Linked DNA regions of Cricetulus griseus. The protein of the gene in region 1 purifies or fractionates together with the protein of each later gene. This does not show direct contact. Links are inferred from orthologs where the notes say so. Each region holds a gene or a part of one and is shown in the gene's direction. Other genes may lie near its edges.

Region 1 (3,598 bases):
GTTTCGGCGGTGGCAGTGGAGCCGGAGCGGGCGGTGGAGGCATGTTCGGTAGTGGCGGTGGTGGAGGGAGTACCGGAAGTCCTGGCCCAGGTACGAGAAGTGTCTTCTATCTAACGCCTTTTCATGTGGGTGAGGGCACGGTTTTCTTTCCCCGGTTTCCAGGCATGTCTGCTGCTTGAGGGGCGGCAACATTACTAATTATGAGATTTCCAATTAATTTCCAATTAATAGAAGTCTTCCTACAAATGTCAAATTTTTCAAAGAAATGTGTGTTCATCTTGCAGTACAGTAGCTGTCCTCCCCCATCCAGTTTCACTTTTTGTGGTTTCAGTTACACGCGGTCAAGCTTCAGTCTAAAAATACTACCATTGTCTCGACGAGAGAGACCACATGCACGGAGCTGTTATTACAGCCTATTGTTACAACTGCCCTGTTACTATGAATTATTGTTGTTCATCTCCTGTCTTTTTGCACTGTGAACTTTACCACAGGTCTGTGTGCAGCTGCAGTTTTAGGGGAGTCTTGAACCATACATCTCAGGATAATATGTGGGTAATCTCCAAAAGTCTGAGAGTCCACATTTATCCAGAAGATGCCTTTCCCAAATGAGTTTTGAGTATCCTCCCCCCACCACACTTTTTTTTTTTTTTTTTTTTTTTTTTTTTGGTTTTTTTGAGACAGGGTTTTTCTGTGGCTTTGGAGGCTGTCCTGGAACTAGCTCTTGTAGACCAGGCTGGTCTCAAACTCACAGAGATCCACCTGCCTCTACCTCCCGAGTGCTGGGATTAAAGGCGTGCGCCACCAACGCCCGGTCCACCACACTTTTTTTAAGAGGGTCAATTGTTCTGTTATTCTGGGAGACATTCAAACAACTCTCATACCTGTTCCATGGTAGATGTGTGTTATAGTCCTCTGCATGGCACTGCAGACTGCAGATTACACTGTAACACATTGAGTCACAGAAAATCCTACCTCTGCAGGGTTAGCAGGAAAGCACTGTGATGGTATGTGAACGAACTACTTCTAATTTTGACACGCATATATTACAGTCCGTGCTTATGAGCTTCCGGGTATGGCTGTGATCCCCATGCATGGCTTTTCAACCATTAATTTATTTAGATTTATTATCATTACACCATGTTTGTGGGTGCAGAATGATGGGTTTGGTGTTTGTTTCTGATGTTAACTTGAGCACTTCTTCATGGTAATACAGGTCTTACAGAGCATCATTGGGTATCGTGTCTAATGACCCATACCAGATGGAGTGACAACCCTATAGCACAACTGACTTGAATGCTGTTTCCTGTTTTCTGTGTGATATGCTTTGCTGAGCATGGCTTTCCTTTTATTCCAGATAACTTGTAAATGCTTCAAACTGTCACATCAGAGTGTGTGAAGGCTGCTCCTCTGAAGAGCTTTATCACTCTTCCACCAAAAATAATGAAAATGAAAGTGGTAGCCATGTTTCCCATCAGTACATTATTGTATTGGGGTTTCTCACCAGGGTCATCTTATTGAGCTATTTTAATGTAGCTCTAAGTCTTGGCCTGACTACTTGCCGTTGCTTTTCCCCTTTGCCTGGGCGGAAAGAAGCTTCTCAGTATTAACTCCTCCAAGCTGCCAGTCTGAGCCCTGCCTGTGTTGCCACAGGGGAACTCACCTGTCTTTTTCCCACAGTGCATCCTGCTAACTCTTGGGCGAAGCCTGTGTAGGCTGCTCCCCCGAGTGTGTGCCCCGTCTGTTAACAGCCTCTCTGATGTTCCCTTTGTCTCGTTGCTGGCTTAGGGTATGGCTTCTCGCACTACGGATTTCCTCCTTACAGTGGGATCACTTTCCACCCTGGAGCCACTAAATCCAACTCTGGGATCACCCATGGTAAGTCAGACGAACACCAAGAAGAAAAACACAGGGACTACAGCATCATCGTTAAAAGTTTTAGAAAATAACTTTCCAATAAATTAATATTTTTGTATAATTCTAGGACAGCATAACACATATTTCTAACATGTATTTATTCATTACATTGCATGAATGGAAGTAGGGCAGTGGTGCAATGCAAAAAATATAGGCTTAACTACCCAAACATAAAAATACCACCTTTTCTGTCTTTTCACCTCAAATACGATCCTTTTGAAATCAGTTTTCAGTTTGTAAGGTTGGCCGTTTCCACTCCCATGTATCCTCTGAGTACCTGTGCTTAAAGTCTGCTCATAGTCTACAGGAAGGGATATTCTTTTATGCCATGGAAATTATCCTATAATGCCTTTTCATATGTAGTACCTGTTCATGCCAGATGCAGACATCACTGTAACCTTTTTTAAAGATTAACTGACATTGTAGTTTTCCTATAATCAGCTAAAACTCACCCTACAAAATAGAACTATTGTTCCCATTAACCATGACTTCATGACCCCTGTGCAAGGAGAACACAAGACTTGGCCCTGTCCAGACAGAACATGGAGTTCAGAAACTTTTATTTACTCTCTGAAGACAGCGCTAGTGGCGGTAGAACTGTGGTAGTTTTGTACCAGGTTTGCCCAGGAGTCTTAGGTACCCTTGTTGTACCTGTCACATAACAGTTCCAACAACAGTGTGACTGAACATGGAGTGTGGGAGCCCCACCAGGCCAGACTATGAGTGGAGAGAGCTCTCACAGTTTCCCTTGTTACTCCACATTCAGAAAGAAAAATAACTACTTTCAAGAACTTTCCATTTGTTCAGCATGTAGAACTTTATCTCATTTTTCTCTTTCACAGATAAACAAAACAAGATTCATTCACTGTTTTTGTTTGAGAAAGCATGGCACTGTGTAACCTTGGCCTTGTGGTGCTTCTCCTGCTTCTGTCTCCTGGGTGCGAGTGAGGAGATTATGGGTTTGAGTAGCCGTTTCTGGCTGCAAAATGAGATGGGAGTTTTTGGAAAATGAGCTTTAAAATGTTCCTGAATACTTAAAGTATTACCAAAACATGCCAGGGTGTTGTGGTGCACACCTTTAATCCCAGCACTGGGGAGGCAGAGGCAAGAGGATCTCTGTGAATTCAAGGCAATGTGGTCTACATAGTGAGTTTGAGGCCCACCAGAGCTACACAGCAAGACCCTGTTTCCAAAAGTAAATAAATTAATAAATAAATACATGGAAAATATGTCCAGAACATACTATTTATGTTATGAAGATTTATACCTTTCCATTTTCAACAAACCTGCCTTCTTTCTTTTCTCTGCCCTGTGTTGAAACTATGAGTTTTATAGTTTGATGAATAGATTTTATTAAGGAAAAGATAATTTTTTGCATTTATCCTAGGAACCATAAACACAGAATCAAAAAATAACCCTAAAGACTGTGACAAGAGTGGCGACAGAGAGGCTCTGAATCTCTCTGAGAAGGAAACAGCAGGACAGGATAAGGAGTCTGGCGTGTCCAGCACCAAGAGTGATACGGTTGCACTGTCATTCCCCATGGAAGACAAGGAATGGGGCGCTGGCTTTCGGGGTAGGTGAGCGTGCCCACAAGGGTTTCCACGGGCAGCTGGGGCGGGTGACCCTCTAGGTACAGGAAGCTGTCTCCAGAGCATGGGTTTCCTTCCTGTTAATCTAAAGA
Region 2 (2,939 bases), on another chromosome or scaffold:
CAAGAAACCAAGAAACTCAGCCACTTAGTCTTCACCATTGTAGTTTGCTTTTGTTGTGTTGTTTTTTGAAATAAATTATGCGCTGCAATTGACTGTCCGATCAGGCTGGCCTGGAACTCACTCGGGTTTTGCCCACCTTTGCCTCCAGAGTGCCAGGATTAAAGGCATACTCCACAACACTTGGCTCATTGTAAATTTTTTATTTTTTTAATTTTTTTTTTTTTATTTTATGTGCATTGGTGTTTTGTGATGGGTGTTGTGTTCCCTGGAACTAGAATTACAGACAGTTGTGAGCTGCCGTGTGGGTGCTGGGAATTGAACCCAGGTCCTCTGGAAGAGCAGTCAGTGCTCTTAATCACTGAGCCATCTCTCCAGGCCCGGTAAATTTTTTAAATTTAAGAGCCAAACTTGAAACTAGAGAGATGTCTCGGTGGTTAAGAGCTCTGGCTGCTCCTCCAGAGGCCCCGTGTTTATTCCCAACACCCACATGGGGGTTTTCTCCAGTTCCATAGGATCTGATAACCTCGTCTGGCCTTCGTAGGTACCGCATGCACATGGTGTGCAGACATGTAGGCAAACACCCATACACATAAAATGAAAATAAATAAAACTTTTAGAAACAAAATCAAACCATCCAAACTTATTTTTCTTAAATATATGGTTATATTTTAGTTAGAGAAACTGACTTTTGACCTGAGTGTGCACTCTGTATTTTGACATTGCTGTGAAAAAGTTGGGGAGGGGGAGTGCTAAGGGAAAATGGCTTGCATAGAGAAGTGCATACATTCAGTTACTTCTCTCCCTCTATTTCTAGTCAGTGGTGCCATTTTCTTCTGCTAAACTCAAATGGGAGCATTACAAAATCCCAGTATATCAGTGAAATATCTTTGTTTCTTAGTGTGCACATTTTTAGGATTCCACTGAAGAATTCATCCCACTAAACAAGTTGTCAGCTAGATTGTACCAGAATAACCTTGCTCTGAACAGCAGAGCTGACTACTGCAAGCTTGTGGACAGGAGCAGCGGTACCTATTCAATGCTCAGTGTCTCAGCTGGGGAACTTTACCCTGGTCCCCAAGAATCAGCATGACATCCTGGGCCTTAGTTAGTATGTTCCATATTTGTGCTTTCTCAGTTTGAAATAAACAAGAGTAGAATATCCATTTTGAACAAATAGAACTGGATATGTTTGCTTTTTCCCATCTCCCATTTCTATTATCATTAGTGAACAGACATAATTATGAACTAGCTCTCGTGAATGAAAGGAAAAAGGGATTCCAGAAATCAGTCAGTGGTTTGAATGAAGATTCAGACTGGTACTTTTTTTGTCATTATTACATTTAGTGTGTGTGTGTGTGTGTGTGTGTGTGTGTGTGTGTGTGTGTGTGTGTGCGCGCGCGCGCGTGCGCAGCATGTACACTATGCTATATTATATGGTGATCCCAGGACAATTCACATGAATATGTTCTCTCCTTTCACCATGTGGTGGCAAAGGCTTTTACCCACTAAGCCATTTCACTGGCCCCTGACTCTTCCTTTACTTTTTATTTTTTCATTTTTGTGTGCACGAATACATGTGTGTGAACCCTTAGAAGTCAGAAGAGGAAATAAGATCCCCTAGAACTGTAGTTATAGATGGTTTTGAGCTGCCCAGCATGGGTACTGGGAACCAAGCTGAGGTCCTCCGGAAGAGTAGCAAGTGCTCTTACTCTTTGAGCCATCTCTCCAGCCCCCTGGTATTCTTTCCTGTGCTCTATGCACCAGAAGTCAAACAAGCTTTGAGCATCATATTCATGGGCTAATTTAGTCCAGTTCACATCATTCTTTGTTTTCTGCACTTAAGCTAACTTCAGTTTCCTTATGATCCATTAGGTGATGAAGGTGGAGAATCTGAACTTCTTGGAGAGGATCTTCCACTGGAACCTTCGGTCACCAAAGCAGAAAGGAGTCACCTGATAGTGTGGCAAGTGATGTGCGGCAATGAATGAGTCCATAAGAGACAGGTGGAGATGAGGAAGCTGCCTCTTCTGCATGATTTATTTTCCCCCTTATTTAAGGCGCTCTCTTTTTTTTTTTTTTTCTTTTTTTGAGAAAGACATTTCACCACATAATATGTGAGCATTTTTTTTCCGGGTTACCTTTATATTACAAAATCTGTCCTATGGTAACAATACAGAGGAAGAGCAAGCTAGTTTACTGCACAGTGTTAATAGGCAATTTCAGTATATCATGAACAAATCAAAGGATGTTTACTTTCTGCAAACTAGTGAATTACAGAAAGCAATCCACATGTGGTTTGCTCTGCCACAGTCTAATGTCACTCACGTAATTGATAAGGTCACTTTTTAGCTATCACTAATAATGGAACTAATGGAAAAGACTTAATAAATGAAACTGTACCATGAAGTACAATAGAGTTTTCCCCAATGTATTATAGAATTGACACACTAATAACAGGTGGATTATCAAGATTTATCTAAATGTCCCAAGAGGGCTAAAAGCTAACTGTAAATTCCTTTAACTTTCACTTTCAATTCTGACAAATCTTGTTTATATGGTATATAAAACTTTGTTTTCATCAGATTTGGGGGTTTTTATATTAAAGAAATTAAGGCTCCACTATTTAAATAAAATTTCTTGTTCCTATCTCATTAGAACTTTAAAGTTTATGAAGCCTGCTTCTCTGCATAGTCTCATTTTTTAGACTAGTTTCACCGATTTTCATACTAGCATTTAAGAAATGTATTATTTGAAGTTTAGGAAATATTCTGGGAAGCGTAGAGGACACTTCAATACTGGAAGGATGTTCTAAGAAGAAACTGTGTTTTGTACTCCTTGTCCTAGAGGATGGTGGTAGTTGATTGAGTTTTTTCCATGGAAAAAAGTACCTATTAGCCAGATGTTCCTAGCTGCTCCTAACCTGTTAAGGAGGGGACACT
Region 3 (3,598 bases), on another chromosome or scaffold:
TAATTCTTTGGTTTGCATTACTGGTAATCAGAAAGAGTATCTCATAAAAAGATGCTTTTAACAGAAGTGCCTCCCCCTTGGGGAAACAAAAATGGTCTTTTTTCATTTTATCTCACAGTATAATGTGCTTTGGAATGAGATGCAGAGTTGTTAGTGTGACATTGGGTGACAAACAAAATGCACAAACAACAAAAAAAGTGCTTTTAGCAGACTTTCACATTGCAATTTTATTTTAAATATATAGTTGTCTTCTGGTTTAAAGGAAATAGTGAAACAAGTATTCCCTAATTGTTTCTGGTTATAAAAGTCTCTGAATCCTTTTTAGAAAAGTCTTTGTGAAAACAATATGAGTTGATTAACTCTTTGTATATCCTCCAGTTCTGAAAGCATGGAGTCACCTTTAACCTAGTATTTCTGTAGCACAGAACACTTAAGCATTGATCAGATGCTTGGGCATGTTAGTATTCTTTATCTTTATACAGGTAGGAAAATACTTTTGGTGCCTTTTGAAATGTCTGTGTATCAGGTAAGTTTCCTGATGACACCGTATTGTAATGTCTACCCTTTCAGTTGGCTGCTACATTAATTGTTAGGAACCATAAAAGAACAAGACTGTTTCTAGCTAGAACTAGATGGGTTTGTCGTACATCTGCCTTTCCTTTGAGGATGCTGTGCTGAGAGCTCACATTATATTAATGAGGGAACCAAAAGCCAAGGGCCGAGGGACTGGCCACAGATGCTGTCACTATGTCAGGGTTCAACATCATTTCTGCATGTTGGTAATACTGCTTCATGTCTCCGCCACTCGGTATCTGTTACACTGACTAGTAACATTCTCTGTCCCTTGGAAATTACAAATCAGGTTTTAGATTAAGGATATCTGAAAATCAAGAGCAAGATTTTTAATCCAATCCAAGTTTTACTTGGAAAACCCCAGAAGACTATGGATTATTGGAGATGCTGACTTGATAGTACAAGAGTGTCAGTTGTCCTTCAGCATTTAAAACCATCTGCACTCTTTAGACCTCCTCTTCTGGGGGTCCTGAAGATAGGAAAGTGTGCTATGTAGCCTTGCATGGAACAGTTAAGGGGCTGTATGCTTTTGTGTAGTTTCTGTCATGGCATGCAGGGCTAGATAGAAAGCCACATTCTCATCAGTGAAATGAACCAGCTCTTTTCCGGTTAACGTCCAGTATAAACTGGTAGGATGATGTTGATGGATGCCGAGGCTGCAGCTGCTCAGGAGTGCTTGCTTAGTGAGGAGTGAGAAGAACCTTGGGAAATGAAGGTCAGAAAAATTTGAAATGAGTTTTCAGTAACAGGACAGTGGCATTGCTGTTGAATTTGAGGCATGGATTTCACTGTCACCAGCCTCCAACAAGATTTTTTGAGACCTCTTACTGCCACTCTTCTCTGTGGCATGAATAGAAAAGTCACTATGTAGAATATTTTCAGTAAGCAGGCATAAATGAGAGAAGCTGGGAATTGGGACCAAACTTCCTTTGATGTAGTTTGGAAGCATAAAGATACGAATATACAGGGTTGAGCTGAGCATAGTGGCGCACGCCTTTAATCCCAGCACTTGGGAGGCAGAGGCAGGGGCATCTCTGTGAGTTCGAGGCCAGCCTGGTCTACAGAGGAGGTGCCAGGATAGGCTCCAAAGCTACACAGAGAAACACTATCTTGAAAAAAAACAAACCAAACCAACCAAACAAACAAAAAACAGAAAGACTATGAAGGGGTTGTTTGTAGATGGATGTGTGGAGGGCAGCCCTGAAAGTAAAAGTGTTAGTTGAGTCAAGGGTAAAATAGAGGGCCTTATTTTTCAAGAAGTAGAATTTTGCCTCCAAATAAGGTGAAGGTATTTGATTGATGACAGGCAGTCTCAGGAGGTGAGAGTGGCACAGGTAAATCATGTCTGCTTCCCTAGAATTTGGATTATTTCAATTGCTACAGTGTTTTGTTTTTAGACAAACTGCTGAGGAATAACCAGGTTAACCTCATGACTTCCCTGAATGCTAAGTTCTTTATCTCTGTCCTGCTTTGTTTTATCTCCTAGGAATAATGGATATCCTGAAAATAATGACTGAATTGGGAGTAGATCCTGATCAGGACACATATGTAAATTATGTGTTTCCATGCTTTGATAATGTAGCATCATTTCGAGCTGCTTTGCAGGTGGGTACAAGTGTGCCTTTAATGGCATAACTGAAGAAAATACTCTTTCTCCCTAATGTTTCATTGTCATTAAAAAAAAAAAAAAAAAGCACCACTGAGTGAAAAACTAAAAATGGTCTTGTATATACAGTTCTGATGTGTTGATAAGACTATCCTGATACAGAAACATTGAAGATTCACTCCTTGGTCTCACCAAGGAAACTGTAATTTTCATTTTTTTTAAAATAATTTTTTTATGAATTTTCCTAAATATATTAATAATAGTATATTTGTTATTCTGTATTTGAAAAATAATCTTTGTTGGGCTTTGAAACATCGTGTTCCTGCCATGCTTTTGACCGTACCAGATGAAGCAAGGAATTGTGAATGTCATTTGTAGGGTTGGCTTTGGAGCTCCCCAGGTAAGAGCACTTGCCATTCTTGCAGAGGATCCAGATTTGATTCCCAGAATCCACCTATAACTCCAGCTCCAGGAGAGCTGACACTTTCTTCTGGCCTCTGTAGGCACTAGGCACATGAGGTATATAGGCATGAATGCTGGCAAACACACTGACACATAAAAGAGTGAAATAGAAAATTAAAAAGAAATTCGACTTGCACCATACAAGAATTACATTTTTAAGCCAGGTGATGGTTGCACACACATTTAATTCCACCACTCAGGAGGCAGAGGCAGGTGGATTGCAGTGAGTTTGAGACCAGCAGGACAGCTAGGACTGTTACACAGAGAAACCCTATCTTGAAAAACAAAACAAAACAAACAAACAAAAACAAAAACAAACCAAAAACCCAAAATTGGGAGTTATATCTTGAGTGGTTTTACTTTTACCTTCCTCACTTCCTTTTCAGGGGCAGATAGGGGCCTCCAGGGCACTGGCTAACTTCTGACCTTTTGTCCCCACCTCCTGTGTTCTGGGACAGTAGGCGGCATATGTTAGTATGTTGGGTTTTTGTTTTTGGGGTTTTTTTTTTTTTTTTTTGGCTTTTCAAGACAGGGTTTCTCTGTATTGTTTTGGAGGCTGTCCTGGAACTCTCTCTGTAGACCAGGCTGGCCTCGATCCCCCTGCCTCTGCCTCCCAAGTGCTAGGATTAAAGGTGTGCGCCACCACCCAGCTTACCTGTTGGGTTTTTTATGCTGTGCTAGGGCCCAAGTCCAGGACATGGTGTCTGCCCAGTGAGCTAGCTCCATTCCCCAGCTCGCTTTAGTTCTCAAAAGCAGCTATTAACCTCATGCTGCACATGCTTTATGTTAGACATTACTGGTAAACAGTGGCCTTCTGCATAATTTATCCTTTGCAGAAATACAGCCTAAGGTTCCAGTGTAGTCCTGTGACTACTATTGTTTTTCCAGGACTGTTTATCTCTTTTAGGAGAAAATTATACCTAAATTGTAAACTTGCCTGAATTTTGATTACTCCTA
Region 4 (4,171 bases), on another chromosome or scaffold:
TTATGCTCCTCTCAGTTTTACTTGGAAGGATTTAAGCTCTCCAGTCCATGAACATGAAACGCAACTGAAGACGCCGGCTTCAGTTACCAACTTGGGCAAATAATCTGATAATTACCAGTACGTGTGCGGTTAGAGTTTGGCTATCGGAATCTGGGAACAGCGGGAGGGGAGGACTGGGGGTTACAGACAGGGGTTACAGTGTTTGCTAAGCCTGCCAGACGCCCTAGGCTCAGTAACAACAGCAGCAGCAGCAGCAGCAGCAGCAGCAGCAGCAGGACCCTCCAGGCCACACACAGCACGGCACTGTCGGGAGACCTCAACAGTTACCACTCATCGAGCTCTTGCTACCGCCGGGTACGACGACCCCGAGCACCCGATCGGCATTAATCTCGACACGCAGGCATCCAGAGACTCGTGCACTTCACGTTAGAAATAAGCGTGTACAAGCCTAACCCTTGCATGAGACACTGGGACTCGACAGAGAGTGACACGAGTTCCAGAAAGTTTCCAGGGCACCCGGTCAGGCTACAGCCGGCCCCCAAGGGTGAGGGCCGGTCCGCGCAGCCTCCGCTCCCGCCAGGGACGCCCGGGGCTGGGTCTCGAGGTGTAAAGGGGGGTGGGGGGGGCGGCGGCCGAGCCTTCACCCGAGTCCCCGGGAGGAAGCACGGGCGGGCGGGAGGAGCCCGGCCCGGGGCTGCAGGGGGCCCACCCCGCTCGGGCGGAGGGGAAAGCAGGGAGCCGCCGGGACCCAGGCCCGAGGCTCGCTCGCTCGCTCGCTGGCTCGGGGTGCAGGCCGGGCCGCTCGGCTCCGGGGCGTCCGGCCTCCCGCCACCCTCTCCGCTGGCTCCGGGCCCTCTCCACGCCAGCCCCCGGCGCCCGCACCAGCCCGTCTCCCTGCGCCTGCCACCCGAGCCCGTTCCGTACCCCCGGATCAGGGTCCCGGTCTCCCGCTCTCTTCTGGAAAGATGGAGGCGCGAATCGTGCCCGATCGATCGCTCCGAGCGCACGCCCACTGCGCACGCGCCAAGGGCAGGCAGCCGAGCGCCGAGCACCCTCCCGCTCACTCGGCCAGCCTGCCCTTCTCGCCATCTTACTCACTGGCACGTTCGAGACGCTCACTCACCTCCTCCGAGCTGATCACCTTCGCGGCAACCCTGAACCCGAAGGGCTGCTGTGTGACCGGCAAACGCCCGATCCTGGGGAGCACGGCGAACGACAGAACGGCCACAGATCGGACAGGCCGTTGGCGCACCACTTCCGGGCGCTGACGGCTCAGTGCGCCTGCGCCCCGGCTACGGCCCGGAACGAGCTTCCCGTCGTCGCGTTCACGGCGGGCCAATCACAGGACGGCGCCGCTTCGCCTCCAGCCAATCAGCTTCCGGAGGAGAGGGTTTAACTCCTGTTTCAAAGGAGAACCTTTGAATTGTAACGGCTGAGCTCCTGGAATCGCTTGGAGTCTTCGCTGGAGACGCGATCCTGCCCCGGGGTAGGAAGGGGACCCGGCGGGCCAGGGAGAGCCTGGGCGCTGCAGAGCGACGCGGGGCGGAGAGGGGCCCGGGGGTGGCGGGCTGTCTCTCGGGGCTCGCATCGGTGCAGCGGAGATCCAGGTGGCCTCGTCCCTCCTTGGGTTTAGGTTCTGGTGGGAATGGGACCCGGACCACCGGCCATACCGGGTGATTTGCAAACCGATGGCGGTGGTATGGACGAAGCAACTGCGGCTCAGTGGGGACCAGGCGGGGGTCCCCTTGTAGAGACGCCCGGGGTCGTGCTGCCCCCTCACCGCAGCCTTTTGAGCAGTCGGTGTCGGTGTAGACCCGCGGAAGCTCAGCTTGTAGAATATTCCGGAAGCCCCGGGCTCGGCCCCCAGCACTGCCTAAACCATCATGGTAGCCCCCGCCTTTAATTCCGATGGTGAGGAGGTGGAGGCAGGCGGATCACAAGTTACATGGCAGATCGGAAGCCAGCCTGAACTGTGACCCTGACTCAACAAAAAAAAACAAAAATAAGTCATCTCCCCATCCCCACACCCAGCGTGGTTGCTCACATCAGCAGTCTGAGGCAGGAGGGTAGCCTTGAGTTTGAAGCTAGCTTCCGATACAATGTGAGAGCCCTTCCCAAAAGTGAGGCCTATCTGGGAATGTAGTTCTTGTGTACCACGCCCTGGATTCAAATCCTAGCACTGCATACACTGGGCACGGTGACCATGTTTGTAATTCCCATTGGGGAAGTGGAGGCAGGAAGATCAGAAGTTCAAAGTGATCCTCCATTATAGCATGTTCAAAGCCAGCCTGGGCTACATGAAACACTGTCTCAAAAACAAATACAAGACTGATATGGTCCCAAATTCCTTTAATCCCATCACTTGGGAGCAGGTAGAAGGACTTCTGAGTTCCAGACTACCTAGGAGGGCTACACAGAGGTACCCCATCTCAAACCAAACAAACAAAATCCTGGCTCCACTGCAAATGTAGGAAATAGAAATATCTTAGGGATAGGATCCTGGTATAGCTAATCATGGGAAAGCTAAAATGCAGGTCATTTAGCCAAGCTGGCATCTGGTCCCAGGGCTCCGTTTCCTACAGGCTTCCTACAGGTGAGGTGGGTACAGCCCCAGTCCTTCACTTAATGCCTCCATCTCCTGCCTAGCCTCCCCCATCTTTGCAGTAGGGGCTTTTCAATAACACGCAGGTGTTTGTCCTGACTGCAAGCAGGTGTTTGTCCTGACTGCAACCCGTATCTGAAAAGGGAAGCCCAAGGCTGATTCCTGCTGTGTCAGGAGAACTTTTCTTACATGGAGTTGTAAATCTTGGCTGAATGGGATCTGTGAAGGTCATCTGATGTAGATGAGAAGGCGAAGGACTGGGATTAGGGGAAAAAATGAGGCCAAGCCAGGAGGGTAGGAAGTGACAGCTTGCAAGGTAATAGATAAACTGGGAAATGGGCAAATGTGATTGGCTGAAACCTGTTCCCCAGGAATCAAGTTAGTGCTGGGTTTGCCACCGTAGGGGAAGCTGAGAGACTGGCAATACCGTGGGATTCAAAAGGCCCAATGGGAATGGCTTGGGAAAAGAGTAGGTGAGCTTTGTTGTTCAAGGGTTATGGGAGATGGGACCATGGCCTGGGGTAGCTGTGCAGCAAATGGGTAACCCAAGCAGGCTGTATATGCTGGGCATCATGTTTTAGAGCAGAAAGAACAAGCCCAGGAGGGAAGAGAATGAGAGGATGTGAGGAGCTGGGTGCAGGATTGTCAGTGGGAAGTGTGAGGTTGCAGGTCACAGAGGCCTGTCTGTCAGAGGCAGTGACTGCGGAGCACAGCAGTACGTGGCTTCCTGTCAATGAAAGGCTCTTGTTTCTCTCTTCAGGTGACATGGACAGATGTAAAGAAAACTGTGTTTCCAGGCCTGTTAAGGTAAAAAGAATTACCTGTAATCACAATTGAATTTTGAAAAGTTGTTTTGAAATGAAATGCATTTTGTTTGTGTGCACCCATTGTTGTAATTTAAGAAAAGCAGCCTTCAAGAAAGATGGCATGAGACAGGGTTCAAGCAGAGAAGGGCTTTTTATTAGGGAAAGAGATCATAAATAGGGGAGGGGGAGACAGGAGCACCAGCAGAGAGAGAGGGAGGGAAAGAAAGAAAGAAGGGTGGGAGCTGACAGCAGCTGAGGGCGTATCCTGTCAGAACAGGCCAAGGATAGATGCCTAAATACTAATATTCCTCCCTCTTATTATAAAAAGATGAGTCATTAGAAAGGGGTAGCAGGTGAGGTGGGGATGAGACCATTGTGTTTTCAAGACTACTTCCTGCTGACCTGGGGGGCATCGTTCATCTTTGGGGGACCTAGGAAAGCTGGGGTGCTAGCCATGTCCTGGAGTAGCTGGCTGTTTCACTTCACTGTCCAGGCTCTGTGGAACCATCAAGGTGCCTCCTGAACCTGGCAAAATGCCGTTCTTGGTGAATCCAAATCAACACCCTAGGGCGTAAAGCGCCTGGTCCTTTCCCGTCACCACAGCATCACTGGGCATGTTTGGTAGTCTTGTGCCTCCAGCTCTACGGCCAACACCTGGTAGTACTGCAACAGTAGCCGATTAGGAATGGTCCGTGGGTCTCCAAAAACATCTCAATAGGAGCAAGGAGGCATAGATGGTGACACAGCTCCCATGAGTGAGGCA
Region 5 (4,258 bases), on another chromosome or scaffold:
CCACCATGTCCCTGCTAAGAGCTGATTACAGGTCACAATTTTAGAACTTAATGTTGGTGAACTGTGGCAGAGAAAGACTAGTTAAGACACAAAATGAAGACCATACTTCGGGGCTTGAATCTCCAACAAGGTGAACTACATAAATCTTTGGTGCCTGGTGTTATATATATTCAAATATTGTCAACTGAGATCCCGGGGAATGGACATATTATTTTAATTTGTATTTTTGGCACTGTATCAAATCAAAATACACCCTCTTGAATGCAACAAGAGTTCAGGAATAAAAAATAATAGAAGCCCCACTATTCTACCACAGTAGATACAGTTCACATCTAAAAAAAATAAACTAATTTTGCAATTGGTTGCTGTACAGTATGCAATGTATGTGATTATTCGGCTCAATTGTGTAAAATCTCACTACTGATAGGAAATTTGTTTTTACTGAAATACAGAATAGTAAAAATGGAAATTTGTAAACTATCCAAAACAGAGGCCCCTAAGTCTCACAAGAACCAGGAGCTGCCTGATAAAAACTTATGCTTCCCTCTCCCAGTCTACACACTTCCTTTCTGGAAACCTAGACTTTTCGTTCCACTCGTTGTATAGTGTTATCATTTTAAAAAGGTGTGTGTGTGTGTGTGTGTGTGTGTGTGTGTGTGTGTGTGTGTGTGTGTCATCGGCAGACAGTGCGTTTGCATTTTTCTTGGAAACCCCTATGACATGGTACTTTCTAAAATTCAGCTACCTTAATACAGAGCTCCTTTGGCGTAGTAGATAGAGCACAAAGCTCTCAGGGCATATCCTCTGAGCCTAGACCCTAACACCATTACTTCCTGGGCCGTCTTGGCCAGTACACACAACTTCCTTGAGCCTTAGTTTCCTACTCAATAAAATGGAGACGAGCCGAGATTCACGTGAAGATCTGAAAGGAAAGCACCTACGCTACAGTCAGCTGAAGGCACACAGCCCAGCAAAAGCAGGGTGGGTGCTCTCTGAGGGGCAATCACTCCCGCCCACAGCTTCTAGGCCTGGGCCATGGTCATCCAAGATCCAGACACAGCTCTGGGCCTCGTTCCGGAGCCTACTAGAGCCTTGTTTTCTCCGCCAGAAGCAGGAACTGGTCGGACAGAGCTTCCGGGCTCCTCCGCTGCCGCCGGCATTCAGCAGTCATGCAGCACAGCGCTCCTTCTTGGCTTTCTGAACCTGATCGAAGGTGAGCGGCCACAGCCGCTGAGAGCCACGCCCTTCTCGGGTCGCAGCGCTGCACTTGAGCCAGCTCAGCAGCGGGAGGCGCAGAGGGCCGCGTTACCTTGGAAACTGGGGCGGGGCTTAACACGGACCGCCTTACCGGGATCTTGCGCAGGCGCACAGCCTGGTTCCGAGTATCGCGAGAACCGCTTCCCGGAAGTTCCACGTCAGTGGGTCGGCAGGTCCGCGGGTCGGTGGGTTCTTCAGGACCGGAGTCGCCGGGAGCCTGTGAGAGGCTCGGGCTCGGACAGTCGGAGCCATGGTAGGTCGGGCCCCGCGGGACAGAGAGCGAAGCTCCCGGGCTGCGGCAGGTTCCGGGGGCTCCCGGGCTGGGGGCCGTGGTGAGGCGCGGCCTGGCGGGGTCCTGTTGGAGTTCTGCTGGGCGGCTGGCCCGGCCTGGGGCCTGCGAGTGAGCGGCTGCTGCCTCTCCTGGCAGCCAGGGTGCCTGTCGGTGCACCCGGCGTGTGCACTGACCGGGTCTAGTAGCGCAAGTCAGTGCCAGAGGCAACTTTGACAAAACTCACGCCATTCTGTCATTAAGCTGGTGTCTGGTAGCGTGCAGACCCCAGATTGCAAACTTAAGCAGAGCGAGAAAGTCAAATGCATATGGAGTCAAAGGTGGCATTTCAAATGCTTTGGCGGGGCAAAGAAAGATTGGGGAATTGTTCTTAAAACTGGCTGATGTGTGTTTCTGTACTTTTTAAAAAATCATCGCCGTCACGCTGTAACGAGACCCAAAATGCCTTTGCACAGGATTGTTACAATGAAAAAGTATGAGGATATCTTTTCTGGAAGAAAATTAAGAAAAAAATCAGAATTTTATTTTTGAACATTTTTTTGCCTATTTTATTTGTTATGGATCACATGATCAAATATTTTGGTGATTGACGACTGTAGGAGAAATAATTCCAAGTCCCTAACCTGACGGTTTAAAACACACTTTAAGTTTGCACAAAGCAGGTTATGGAAAAGTGAAAACTAGAACAAGGACTGGCTGGTGAGGAGCATGGCTACTCCCAAAAAACCTCTTGGAGAAAGAGTTTGGCATAACATTTAGTGTTTCCAGCCCCTCCCACACCATCCTCATTTGTGTACTTTACCGGGTCCCCAAAGTTGAGAGCCACCTCAACAAACCTTGTATGGAAATCACAGCACTTTATATTAAACAGCTCGTGTTGACTGGGCCTTCTGGGCTCAGAGAGAACGACATTTTGGAAACTGCGCTTGGATTGGCCTAATTTCATTTTTAATAGTGAAATATTGCTTTCATTCTTTATTGTATGTGGGTTCCACACCCACAGATTGAACCAGTTTTGGGTGGAAAACATTTGGGGAAAAATACTGTGTGATCACGCACTGGCATTTTTCTGCTGATTTTTCCTTAACTAGTATAGTGTAACAACTCTTGGACCTTGTATTGGTGTTGTAACTAATCTAGAGATGACAGGGAGTAATGTGTAGATTATAAGCAAATACCACACCATTTTATATAACTTGAACAACCAAGGGTTCTGGTTTGGTGGAGGGTGCTGGAACCATCCACAGACACCAAAGGATGACTTTATTTTAAAAGTCTCAAGTAGAAAGCACAAAATGTGAATCTGTTCATTTGCCAACTCACCATAGGAGTATTTACTGTCCTGCATTTTGCTAAACTGTCAGAGCAGCCTGTAGATAGTTACGAGTAATGCTTATGAGATGGTTACTATAAGCCCTGCACTGCTGTAACTGAACTCTGAATTTACTTCTCAAAACACTAAGAGGTGGACGTTGTTATTATCATCCCTGTTTATACAAGTCAAACCTGGAAGGTTAAGTAAACCTGCTACTCCATGTCTAATCAAGTATGCAGCTGAGGTTTGATGTAGCAAGACTGTGGACCTCAGTTAGGCCACCTGTTCCTCCCCACCATTCCCAAATAAATGAGGTGTGGAGAGAAGGACCTCCATAAGCAATGATCCTGCCCTTAAGAAGCCCACATGTACCGTGATTGGGGAAGAATCCTTCTGGCTAGGCTAGGTTATTGATGGCGGTGGCTTTTAAACCAAGACTGGAGTTGAGGATGCATTGTGAGTACTTTAACCATCTAGGACCTGCTACAGTATCTTTTGAAAGTTATGACTGGGATGGTAAGTATAACTATAGGAGCTCTTGCCTGCAGTAATGGACATTTTAAAAGTAGTGTCTCTATTTTGGAGTATGCGAAGCTATACTGGGTTTTTCAAAGATCCCTGACCATTTTGGTCAATTTTAAAGCATTGTTAGTATAAAATATTTATTTGTATGTATATACTTGGATGTGTTGGCTTATGTGAAAGATCCCTTTATGGTTCCTGGATTAAATATACTTCCTGTTTGTTGACACTACAATGACAGGAAGAAGTTAAAATTTGTGACAGTAGTAAGCTGGGCAAAAATTCAGAAGTCATTGAGAAGGTTCTGCCTTCCTGATTTAAAGATGGTGGCTTGAATAAGTTTGAGATGGATAGGAACACTTGACAGTGAAGTGTTCTCAAGGGCACTGAAGAGTTAGAACGTGAGCTTTGAAAACAGTAGTTGGAAGTCAGGGAGCTAACTGAAGAACAGAAGTAGGCAGTGACCTACCTTTGACAGAGATCCAAAAAGAGATGAATAAAAGCCTTGTTAGGTGTTTGTTTCAGATATTACCTCTGTTGGAGCCTCATGTGTTGAAAAGTAACCCTAAATTTCTGTCCCGTTCATGATTGTTAAGGAACAGCTCAAAGAAGCTAGCACAGTAACTCATCCTTTCAGGTTGTGCTTTAGGCTTGTTGAAAAGGAAATGCATTTTAAACTAGCCCATAGGAGAGAGTGGGACCTACTGCTGCAGGGTCTCATTGTATAATGAATTACTTTTCTTCTGTGTTGGCATCCCTGGGAGAAACAGAAAACAATCAGTCAAATCATTTTCTGTTTGGTTCAGATAGAGAGGCTGACTGGAATTGCTATTTTATGGATTAGTTTTGTTTAAAATGGCTCTAATTTTTCAGTA
Region 6 (4,122 bases), on another chromosome or scaffold:
GTAAAAGCCTCCCCTTGCCACCTCCCCCCAGTGTGGAATGTGGAACCAAGTCCATCTCTCTCCTTCCCTCCAACCCGTTTCCCCATCTCACCTGAGCCTCCTGCACCTTCCCTGCCTGGGTCTCCACAGGGTCAGAGGCTGGGGAGGAGGGGGAGCAGACGTGGTTACAGTGGGGGGGGCAGTTAAAGGGATGAAGGATTCACAGTGGTGGAGGCAACGAGAGAACCCACTAACCTAGTTATCCTGGAGTCAGGGACGGTAGTAAAACTGTCGGAGACGGGGACAGGCATATTTTAGAGTGGAAGACACATGTGTGAGGTGGAAAGGCTGAGGGGGAGGTTTAGGAGGAGAAAGCAGGTGCGACAGGACTGAAGGAAGACTTCAGAGTCAGGCAGGACGCGGTAGTGTGAGTGCCAGCCAGGAGAGAGAGGGAGGGCGAAGTTTTTCAAGAGATGGAAATGGGGATACCTCGGCTGGAGTTGAGTGTGGGAGAGGAGATGGAGTGGAGGCAGGAGGTTTAGGAGAGACACAGGAACTGAAGGAATGAGATGGAAAGGGGCAGCAGGGGTTCCCGAACATCCTACAGTTGCCCCTAACACCAGATAACCTTAGCAACCGGGATCGTAGCAACTTTGGTCCTTAGCAACGAGGGTTCTCAGCAACCAAGGTGCGAGAAACGCGATCATTAAGAACTTGGCAAACGGACCCTTCAAGAAATCTCACAACCCAGAATCCCACCAACCTAGCAACACCGACCACTTAGCAACGGCCCTCCAAATCCCACTCCCTTCGTGCAGCCCCTTCCTCCCACCCCACCGAGCCTGTCCTCGGGCCCCGGGGCCTGCAGCCCAAAGCCAGGCCCCGGCGCGGCCCGACCCTCCCACCTGGGCCCCCGACTCACGATCCGGCTCGGCCATGGGAGCGGGGTGGGGGCCCTCGGAGCTGTCACCGACTGCTCTGTCCCGTGACGGCACCGGAAGCAAGAGGGGACCGAGATAGGCCAGAGGACTACAACTCCCGGCAGCCCACGCCGTCCTCAGCAAACCCTTTCGCGCGACGAGCCGCTCGTGGCATAGAACTACAAATCCCAAAAGGCCTGGTGCCTGAAGCCATATTGATAAAGGGCGTCTGGAAAAAGTGGGGAAACTCAGAGAGCCGGCGTGCATCTCATTATCCTGATTGGTTCTGGCGACGCACGGGGGCGGAGCGTAGCCATTTAGCTTGTTTTTATTGGGTAGATGAGGGGGCGTGTTGGGGAATTCCCGGCAGGGCGGAAGCGCTGGAGCTCACCGCAGAGCCCAGCGTCGGGCGGGCGACCACAGGGGGCCACCGAGGTGGCTGGGCCATGGCCGGGGTCGCGTGCTTGGGGAAAAGCGCGGACGTCGACGAATGGTGCGACAGCGGCCTAGGCTCCCTGGGTCCCGACGCGGCGGCTCCCGGAGGACCAGGGCTGGGCGCAGAGCTGGGCCCGGAGTTGTCGTGGGCGCCCCTGGTCTTTGGCTACGTCACTGAGGATGGGGACACGTGAGTAAACCTTAAATTACCTACCAAACGGAGCCCCGGGATCCTACCTGAGCCTCCATCGGCTTGTGATTCTGTGACTTACTTACTACCTTCTGGTTCCTACCCCTGACTTCCGATACGAGCCTTCCTGACCCATACATAACTCCCCCCACCCCCAATCCTAAGTTGTGAGTCTGGTTTCACCCACGGTCAAGCGTCTCGCCTTTCTTGGAACTGTAAATTTGTGCTCCTGGAATCCGCATCCTTACCATGGGTCCCCATACCGCATCTGAACCTTTCCAACCCGGTCCCCCCAGACCTTTCCCACGAATTCTGACCTCTTGCTTCCAAATGTGGCTTTTGATCCGTAGCTACTCTTGTATAAGCCAGATTTTGATTCCCAAAATTAGTCCTTGGCCCTGAGTCTACGACTCTTGACACTTCCAGCATTGATTTGCAATTAAGAAATTGAAGTGATGCCCGGCCGTGGTGGCGCACGCCCTTAATCCCAGCACTGCAGAGGCAGAGGCAGGCGGATCTCTGTGAGTGCAAGACCAGCGTGGTCTACAGAGTGAGTCCCAGGACAGCCAAGGTAGTTAGTTACACAGGGAAACCTTGTCTCAAAAAACAAGACGACAACAGCAACAAGAGAGAGAGAGAGAGAGAGAGAGAGAGAGAGAGAGAGAGAGAGAGAGAGAGAGAGAGAGAGAGAGAGAGAGGAAAGAAAAGAAAAGAAAAAGAGGGGAAAAAGGAGAGGGAGATTGAAAAATAATTGTAAAATTTGACTGGGGAGAAGGGCAGCTGTGGTGAAGGGCTATGCAAGGGATTGTACCCGGGATTTTTTGTCCTTTGTGCTTTTTGCGTGTGCCCAATGACTCAGTGCCTGACCCATGAAGGGAACATAATAAGCACTCTTAAAGAACCAGGTGTAATTTCCTTAATTTTCTTATTTTTCACTTTCTATGTTATTGGTCCTTGTTCCTTTATTATTTTATTCTGATTACTTTTAGATTTGAATTTTGTAATTTTCTTTCTCCTCCTTCCTTTTTTGGGGGGGTCGGGCAGTCTCATGTAGCCCATGATGGCCTTGAGCTTGCTGTTTAGCTGAGGATAGCCTTCAATTTTTCATCCTCCTCTAAAGTATGCATCATTATACTCAGCCAGGGTGTGTGTGTAGACTAGAGGATAACCTTGGGTTGTTTTGTTTTGAGACAGTCTTTCACTGGTCCAGTACTCAACACATCGGCTAGGTTAGCTGGCCGGAGAACCTTAGCTTTTTTCGAGACAGATTTTCTCTGTATTGCTTTGGAGCCTGTCCTGGAGCCTCTCTCTGTAGACCAGGCTGGCCTGGAACTCTCCTCCCCGGTGTTGGATTAAAGGCATGTACCACCAACACCTGGCTGCTTTATGTAATTTGAAGGTTTGTTATTGGAGCCATAGTGTGTGTGTGTGTGTGTTGCTGCCAGTTAAGCCTGAGGTCTTGCACATGTTAGGCAGGTGCACCCCCAACCCACATCCCAGCCCCTGCCCTAGTTTTCCACTTTTTTTGTATTTTGTTTTTTGAGTCAGGCCTTCACTGTGTAGCCTTACACTTGTGATCCTCCTGCCTTAGCTTGGGAAGTACTAAAATTAGAAGCTGGGGCTAGGGCTCTCATACCCAGTTTGTTTGTCTTTGTGTATGTAAGTATGCTTGTGTTTGGAGGCCAGTGATTGGTGTTCACTGTCTACCTCAATTGTTCTACACGTTGTTGTTATTATTTGAAACAAGGTTTCACAATGTAGTCCTGGCTGACCTAGAATTTACCATGCAGACTAGACTAGCCTGGAATTCACAGGGATCCACCAGCTTCTGCCTCTTTCACACAAGCCACCATTTTTGGTTTTGTTTTTGCTTTTGTTTTGTTTTTTGGTTTTTTTGTTTGTTTGTTTGTTTGTTTTGTTTTTTCGAGACAGGGTTTCTCTGTGTAGCGTTGGAGCCTATCCTGGCACTCGCTCTGGAGACCAGGCTGGCCTCGAACTCAGAGAGATCCGCCTGCCTCTGCCTCCCGAGTGCTGGGATTAAAGGCGTGTGCCACCAACACCCGGCTTTGTTTTTTTTGTGACAGAATTGCACTATTTAGTATTTGGCCCTGCTAGTCTAGAACTTACCATGTAGCCCAGTCTGGCCTTGAAGTAACAATCCTTCTGCCTCACCTTCCCCAGGTGCTGGAATTTGAGCTACTACAGGTAGCTAAATTCTTTAAAATAAACACTGGTAAGACAAAGTTGGTAGCTGGACCTGCTGTCACAGGCTTGTCAGCCCAGCTACTCGGGAGGCCGAAGCAGGAAGAACTTGAACTCCCGATCAGCCTGGGTAGTTTATGAAGACCCTTGTCTTATCTCAGAACACCAATCAGGCAGACAAAGGAAGTTGCTGGATTCGCTCCTGTCCCTGGCTCTCCGGGACACTGAAGTGTTTCCAGTTATGGCTACAGTTTGCAGCATACAGTAGACACTCGTGTTTACTGACCTCTGCCTCTGTCCCCAGGGCCCTGCACTTGGCCGTGATACATCAGCATGAGCCCTTCCTGGATTTCCTCTTGGGCTTCTCCGCCGGCACTGAGTACCTGGACCTGCAGA

What was found.
Region 2: the proteins of Nfkb1 (region 1) and Spag9 purify together in Homo sapiens (affinity purification with mass spectrometry; 5 studies listed by BioGRID and IntAct, with this or other methods). This does not show direct contact. The link is inferred for Cricetulus griseus from reciprocal best matches to the Homo sapiens genes NFKB1 and SPAG9.
Region 3: the proteins of Nfkb1 (region 1) and Lrpprc purify together in Homo sapiens (affinity purification with mass spectrometry; 3 studies listed by BioGRID and IntAct, with this or other methods). This does not show direct contact. The link is inferred for Cricetulus griseus from reciprocal best matches to the Homo sapiens genes NFKB1 and LRPPRC.
Region 4: the proteins of Nfkb1 (region 1) and Aurka purify together in Homo sapiens (affinity purification with mass spectrometry; 4 studies listed by BioGRID and IntAct, counting the BioPlex papers as one, with this or other methods). This does not show direct contact. The link is inferred for Cricetulus griseus from reciprocal best matches to the Homo sapiens genes NFKB1 and AURKA.
Region 5: the proteins of Nfkb1 (region 1) and Copb2 purify together in Homo sapiens (affinity purification with mass spectrometry; 5 studies listed by BioGRID and IntAct, with this or other methods). This does not show direct contact. The link is inferred for Cricetulus griseus from reciprocal best matches to the Homo sapiens genes NFKB1 and COPB2.
Region 6: the proteins of Nfkb1 (region 1) and Nfkbib purify together in Homo sapiens (affinity purification with mass spectrometry; 7 studies listed by BioGRID and IntAct, counting the BioPlex papers as one, with this or other methods). This does not show direct contact. The link is inferred for Cricetulus griseus from reciprocal best matches to the Homo sapiens genes NFKB1 and NFKBIB.

Annotation. Positions count from the first base shown.
Region 1 is NW_023276806.1:23,885,644-23,889,241, forward strand, and holds part of Nfkb1 (nuclear factor NF-kappa-B p105 subunit), read left to right. Parts: coding exon 1-90; intron 91-1,785; coding exon 1,786-1,875; intron 1,876-3,301; coding exon 3,302-3,490; intron 3,491-3,598.
Region 2 is NC_048600.1:107,038,309-107,041,247, forward strand, and holds part of Spag9 (C-Jun-amino-terminal kinase-interacting protein 4), read left to right. Parts: intron 1-1,872; coding exon 1,873-1,988; 3' UTR 1,989-2,939. UniProt on the Homo sapiens protein: The JNK-interacting protein (JIP) group of scaffold proteins selectively mediates JNK signaling by aggregating specific components of the MAPK cascade to form a functional JNK signaling module.
Region 3 is NC_048598.1:86,392,229-86,395,826, reverse strand, and holds part of Lrpprc (leucine-rich PPR motif-containing protein, mitochondrial), read left to right. Parts: intron 1-2,059; coding exon 2,060-2,178; intron 2,179-3,598. UniProt on the Homo sapiens protein: May play a role in RNA metabolism in both nuclei and mitochondria. In the nucleus binds to HNRPA1-associated poly(A) mRNAs and is part of nmRNP complexes at late stages of mRNA maturation which are possibly associated with nuclear mRNA export.
Region 4 is NC_048599.1:6,970,994-6,975,164, forward strand, and holds the start of Aurka (aurora kinase A), read left to right. Parts: upstream 1-1,347; 5' UTR 1,348-1,486; intron 1,487-3,362; 5' UTR 3,363-3,367; coding exon 3,368-3,409; intron 3,410-4,171. UniProt on the Homo sapiens protein: Mitotic serine/threonine kinase that contributes to the regulation of cell cycle progression.
Region 5 is NC_048597.1:207,021,181-207,025,438, forward strand, and holds the start of Copb2 (coatomer subunit beta'), read left to right. Parts: upstream 1-1,361; 5' UTR 1,362-1,507; coding exon 1,508-1,510; intron 1,511-4,258. UniProt on the Homo sapiens protein: The coatomer is a cytosolic protein complex that binds to dilysine motifs and reversibly associates with Golgi non-clathrin-coated vesicles, which further mediate biosynthetic protein transport from the ER, via the Golgi up to the trans Golgi network.
Region 6 is NC_048602.1:7,104,044-7,108,165, forward strand, and holds the start of Nfkbib (NF-kappa-B inhibitor beta), read left to right. Parts: upstream 1-1,266; 5' UTR 1,267-1,345; coding exon 1,346-1,524; intron 1,525-4,030; coding exon 4,031-4,122. Other genes in the region: Sirt2 (NAD-dependent protein deacetylase sirtuin-2), read right to left, coding at 92-138, 902-917. UniProt on the Homo sapiens protein: Inhibits NF-kappa-B by complexing with and trapping it in the cytoplasm.